2 linked regions of the Coturnix japonica genome follow. The protein of the gene in region 1 binds, or shares a complex with, the protein of each later gene. Links are inferred from orthologs where the notes say so. Each region holds a gene or a part of one and is shown on either strand. Other genes may lie near its edges.

The links.
Region 2: the proteins of TJP1 (region 1) and GJC1 are in contact, whole or in part, in a crystal structure (PDB 3SHW), measured with the Homo sapiens proteins. The link is inferred for Coturnix japonica from reciprocal best matches to the Homo sapiens genes TJP1 and GJC1. Residues at the interface, in NP_003248.3 of Homo sapiens: Lys429, Ser432, Val433, Gly434, Leu435, Arg436, Leu437, Gly449, Val450, Leu451, Val484, Leu487, Leu488, Leu549, Asn551, Gly552, Lys553; in NP_001073852.1 of Homo sapiens: Lys391, Thr392, Ser393, Val394, Trp395, Ile396.

Annotation. Positions count from the first base shown.
Region 1 is NC_029525.1:5,085,687-5,089,344, reverse strand, and holds part of TJP1 (tight junction protein ZO-1), read left to right. Parts: intron 1-1,021; coding exon 1,022-1,127; intron 1,128-1,834; coding exon 1,835-1,985; intron 1,986-2,476; coding exon 2,477-2,585; intron 2,586-3,201; coding exon 3,202-3,421; intron 3,422-3,658. UniProt on the Homo sapiens protein: TJP1, TJP2, and TJP3 are closely related scaffolding proteins that link tight junction (TJ) transmembrane proteins such as claudins, junctional adhesion molecules, and occludin to the actin cytoskeleton.
Region 2 is NC_029542.1:749,252-751,705, forward strand, and holds part of GJC1 (gap junction gamma-1 protein), read right to left. Parts: intron 2,093-2,454; exon of another isoform or gene 2,018-2,092; intron 1,892-2,017; 5' UTR 1,873-1,891; coding exon 688-1,872; 3' UTR 1-687. UniProt on the Homo sapiens protein: One gap junction consists of a cluster of closely packed pairs of transmembrane channels, the connexons, through which materials of low MW diffuse from one cell to a neighboring cell.

The sequences.
Region 1 (3,658 bases):
TAATACTTTAAATACAAATTCTTGTATCATGTGCAACCATGTAGCAAATAATAGACAGTAATAGTGTCCACTGCTGGAGGATGATTGCAGTGATATTTTCCTCTCAGTAACTAGAGAATCCGTGCAGCAGAGTCATAAGTATTTATCTTTAAGAGCCAACTGCACCATAGTATACAGTGAAATTTGCCATCCTCAAGCTGTGCAGCAATAGTTCTAGTGTTTGAAGTACTTTTGTTGCATAAATCAAGGGGTTCTTTAATGGGGGAAGTCTCAGAATTGCAGGGTCTGGAAGGGGCACTAAGAGTCCAACCCCCCTGCTAAAGCAGGTACCCTACAGTAGGTCACAGAGGCAGGTCTCCAGACAGGTCTTGACAATCTCCCTAGAAGGAGATTCTACAAACCCCTCTGGGTAACCTGTGCCAGTGCCCTTACAGTGAAAAAGGTCTTCCACATGTTTATACAGAACTTCTCCTTTTTGTATCACTATGCATCACCGAGAAGAGACTGGCCTCACTCATTTGCCTCTCATCTGCCTTTAGATATAAACATTTATTGGATCCCCCTTCAGTTGTCTTTTCCACAGGCTGAACAGACCCAGGTTACTCAGCCTTTCCTCAAATAGGAGATGCTTCGAGTCCTTCATCATCTTTGTGGCTCCCTGCTGGACTCATTTTGAGAGATCCCTGTCTTTTTTGAGCTGAGACACCCAAGACTGGACACGGCACTCTTAAATGTGGGAAGTTATGTTAGATGCATCTAAGTGTGCCTAACTTAAAGGAAAGAGCAAGGCTGAAAATGGTCTTGAGAGAGCATAAAACCTTTTAGTTCTTGCAGTTCTACATGTTGATGAAGCTCTGCTTTGAATGACAAGGTTTCTTGTTGTAAATTTCTAATGTTCAGTTTCTAGCATAAAGAGGGTTGGTGGGTAGAGAAAAACTACTGAAGAAGCTCTGAAATTAAGCTTTATTTTCTTATCTGTAAATGCCCAAACGGATATTCAGTGTCTTCTGTATTTTAATAGAACCAAAGCCAGTATATGCACAAGGAGGTCAGCCAGATGTGGATTTACCAGTCAGTCCATCTGATGGTCCTTTACCCAACTCAACCCATGAAGATGGAATGCTTCGGTAACATAACTCTAAATTCTATTTGAGTCCTGTTGCCTTGGTCTTGAGCAATGTTTCTTCTAAGTTAATGAATAACATTTATAAATGGTCTGATGTGAAGTCCAGCATGCTGTTCGGGTGCCTCTATTTGGAAATAGTAGAGTAAAAATTTCAGAAAAATCTTTTCCTTTTGTAATTATTGAAGACCAATTAAAATAATTACAGAAATATACAGTCATGGTATGCAAATGAGTCTAATTCAACTGAATCTCCTTTATGAGCATCAGTGAGAGTATATTCTAGCTGAGGTAATCTCAAAAGTTCATCTTATTCCCTGAAGAGCCAGAATAAATCTCTGTACTAGCACAGCTCTTCCAAAGGGCAGAATGCTTTGGGAAGAGAGTGTCAAAATGCTTCTTAAAACACTATATTAATGTAAGACAAACTTTGCTGTACTAGTAAAGTAAGTTGTTTTTTTTGTTATTTTTAAGTGCTGCAGATGAGTCTGTTGTATAATGGTATAGTTGATAAGCAATCAATGGTAATCGTAGTATAATATCTCCTCTAGTTGAAGCAGTAGGCAAATTATATGCATGTCATCAGTCTGAATTACTCAAACACTTTATGTATATTTACACACATGTGCACAGAGATAGATATATAGGTATATCTCTATATACACACATGTATATACGCAATTCAAAGTGGAATATCTTCTTATTTTCTAGGCCAAGCATGAAACTGGTAAAATTCAGAAAAGGGGATAGTGTGGGCCTGCGGCTCGCTGGTGGCAATGATGTTGGCATATTTGTAGCTGGTGTTTTGGAGGACAGCCCTGCGGCGAAAGAAGGATTAGAGGAAGGAGACCAAATTCTCAGGGTATGTTGAATATAATAGCACAAGTGTTCTGTCATACCAAAGTGGATTTTGTTTCTTTAGTGCATGTTTATTACATGACTTGGCAACAGAATTTCCTTTTACTGTTGCTAGAAAAGTTTGTAAGACTTATGTTCAATTTCTGAGACTAAATTCAGTTCAAAGAAAATGCCTCTAACTGTTGGGCCCCACTGGATTCTCAAGTAGGCTTCTGTATATTACAGTTTAATATTACTGATGTTCATAGATGTTCTGTAATATTAATCTAAAGAAGTCAAAATGAGCAGCTGTCTAATGTTCCAGAGGTTATGCTTATCTCAAACAGTAGTATTCTTTTAGAGCTGTATCTTCCTGAGATCCATGTCCTTGGTGTTCTTATATATTAAGCTGAGTAAACAATCTCAGCAATAAACTAATTCAGTTTACCTGTTATGTAGCTGTGTGTCTATTAAATGATGTATGCTAAATCAAACTGATTACTTCATTGATGCTAGGTTAATAACGTAGACTTCACAAATATCATCAGAGAAGAAGCTGTCCTTTTTTTACTTGATCTCCCTAAAGGCGAAGAAGTAACCATTTTGGCACAGAAGAAGAAAGATGGTAAGTATTTGTGTATCTGAAGCAGTGTAATGGGCTGATTGGAAACAGATTTTAAAAAATACAGTTAAGAAAGGATAATTGTTGGCTAGAAGGAGATTAGCATCTTTAAAAGGCTATTCAAAGTTCTTTTGGGTTTAGAATGGGCTAAAGGTTGATACTGTAGTAATTTTTTTCCTTAAATAAGGAAAAAAAAACCCAAAAAACAAGAAAACACAATAAAAGACCAACCCCAAAGCAAACTACAACAGTTCTATTTTTTTAAAAAACAGCATTTAATGAAATTTTTGGGGGATGGGATGAGGGGGCAGGAAAAGAAGTCTGGTTTTTGCTGTTCTGTTGAAAATCTTTCTTTCCCAGTGAGACTCATTCCTTCCTGAGGAAGTGGATTCAGTTTATACTAACAAATTTTTGACAGCATAAGTTGAATTTATGTTTGTAGAGTTCTTTGTAATAGTTGCACAGCTTAAAACAGAAGCTGTGAGTCATTAAGGTTTTCTGAAGTAATATTTAAAACAAGGAGAATTAAAATGAAACACTGCGCTCCCAACACTTTTCAGGAGCACTATGACTGCAATTTACTGGGACAAGTATAACAGCAACTTTTTTCTTCTTTTAGTTTATCGTCGCATTGTTGAGTCTGATGTAGGGGATTCTTTCTATATCAGAACTCATTTTGAATATGAAAAAGAATCTCCTTATGGACTAAGCTTCAACAAAGGTGAAGTGTTTCGGGTTGTGGACACCCTATATAATGGCAAACTGGGTTCATGGCTGGCAATTCGAATTGGCAAGAATCATAAGGAAGTTGAAAGAGGTATCATACCTAACAAAAACAGGTACGGTATTAAAGTATTTATGCTGTTGTTTGAAAACTACAATTTTTAATTACACATCTGTATAACTTGCTGGGTCTGATGGACATCGGTCTGTAGAACCTGTTCAGCTGGTTGGGGAAAAAGTGCCTGTTAAAATGGGAAACAAACTGATGTTGGATTGCTAGTCCGTGATTTGGTTTCAACTCTTGTACATCCACAGGAAAAAGAAACAGCTGTAACATAGCTCTTTCTTGTGAA
Region 2 (2,454 bases), on another chromosome or scaffold:
ACACGTGGATGTTATGCAACGAGAGACCTCAGAAACCTCTTAAATCCATAAATATATGGAATCATGAGTCGTTTTCCATAGGATTAAGGAACGTAGCCTGTAACAGCTATAGCGTGACACTTCCACTTGTAAGTAGCACATCAGTTCTGTAAAAAGGTACAGTCAAGAGCACCATCAGCGGGTGTTTTCTGAACCTCCCCCTGCTCTAAGGGAGTGGATAACCGGGCTCCCCGGTGCTGTGTGTTCAAGGCACTTCTCAAATGCAGCATAGAAAGTTCTGACACTGAAAACAAACAGAAAACGTTGACGAACCACAGTAATAAAACCAGCAAAATGCTAACAGCTACCTACAGGTTCCTCCTTTCGTATAAAAAAAAGGGTAACTTCGGAGATCCAGTGTACAAATACAAAAAATTGTGCATAATAAGTGTACGATAGTACTGTACATACAGAGTAAACCGTTCAATGAGAATGATTTAAATATACCTATTTGTCTCCTGGCTTGGAAGGCAGAAGAATAAAGTTGTACAGTCCTACAGTATGCATATAAACACTTTCTTAGAGCTGGAATCGCTAGCCAACAGTATCCCTGAAAATAAGCAGAACCAAATATTTACTTAATGGAAGCCATTACTCAACGGGTTGCTGGTTGTGAGAAAAAAAGACAACATATAAACTCAGCCAAGGTTAAATCCAGACAGAGTTCTTCCCGTCCCCTGATTTGCTGCTGGCACTGCTTTTGTTGGAGCCTGCTTTGGATTTCTTCTCTCTGGAACTGCTGCTGGGGTTGTTTTGGTTGTTGTATGCCTGGATCGCCAAGTCCAGGCGTTCCTGAGCCACTTTGATTTCCCTCTGCAGGTTTTCCAGGTCGGCAGGGATGTTCTCCTCGTTGCTGCCGTACTGCTGCTCCTGAGCAATGTTGGCTTTGTTCTGCTTGTAGGCCATCTTGGCGTTGGACAGTTCTGTGTATTGCATTTGATCGGGTTTGACTGCAATGTTATAGCCAGGAGGAGCAGAGGGCGTGTTCCAAGTAAAGGGGTAGTTGTAGGTACCAGAGTCCTCCAGCTCTTTCCTCTTGTTGTTTAACGTGTCCCGGATCGTGCCAAACCCTAAATGGAGCATCTCCCACACATTCAAAAGCAAACACATACAGCTCACCCCGTACATTATGAGCAGGAAAATGGTCTTTTCGGTCGGCCTCGAAATGAAGCAGTCTATCTTATGGGGGCAGGGCTTCCTGCTGCACACAAACACGGGGCTGACCTCAAAACCATACAGAAGGTACTGACCGATCAGAAAGCCAATCTCAAACATCGCCCTCACCAGCAGCTGCAGCACGTAGATCCTCATCAGTCCATCTTCACGGATTCGCCGCCGCCCGTCGTGCTTGGCTTTAGCAGGGGGCTGCTGCTCCTTGTTCTCCCGTTCGCTTTCCAGCTCTATTTCTGGGTACATCATCGGGTCCTCCTCGTGGTCATCCTCAGCCTCCTCCAAGCCGCGGTGTTGTTTCCAGCGCATTGAAAAGCTTTTGCTTCTGAACCTTCTGTCAATGTCACTGTGCTCCACCATCCGGGCAATCTTATGGATGGCGTAGCCCAAATACATGACGGATGGAGTGGCAACGAGAATGATCTGGAACACCCAAAATCTCACGTGAGAAAGAGGAGCAAAAGCGTCGTAACAAACGTTCTCACAGCCAGGCTGCTCCGTGTTGCACACAAACTTGCTTTGCTCATCATAATAAATGGATTCGCCTCCCACAGCAGTCAGGACGATCCGAAACACGATCAGCACCGACAGCCAGATTTTACCAACGAAGGTGGAGTGGTTGTGGATCTCCTCTAAGAGACGGGTCAGAAAGCTCCAACTCATGGTGGTCTAATTATTTTACCTAGAAAACAGACAAAACCCCCAAAAGAGTTGAGTTGATGAGCTCAAGCCTGCACGTTGCAAACATGCAATCGGGAGAGAAAGGCTCAAATGTGACAACCAACACAGAACTCTTATGTGGCATCACCTGCTATCGGGAAGCTCCAGCCGCCAGGACTTGCTCGAAGATCTACGTCTCCTTTGCAGGCTTTTGGGAAGTCTCCTGTCAAGAAATAAAGTAGCAGCTCTCTGCCACTGCACAAACAAATCTTGCTTCCAAAGCTGCTTCCACACAGAAGAGAAAGGCATGGCTGCTCTCCATTTCTAATGTTGACACTTCAGACTGAGATCTCCTTAATACAGTGGATCAGAAGCTCAGCTCCTGTGCCATTTTATGGGCACTGCTGCCTACGTCCCACTGCTGACACTGGGACTTGTTTTCACTGCTGAAATCTGAGCTAACAATGCTGGCCTCCACCACCCACAGCCAAGAGAGAGAAACTATTAGATTAACTATATTGCATACCTCAGAGCCACTAAAAACAGAAGAAAGGACCCTACAGAGCAATGCCAGCTGTTTTAAGG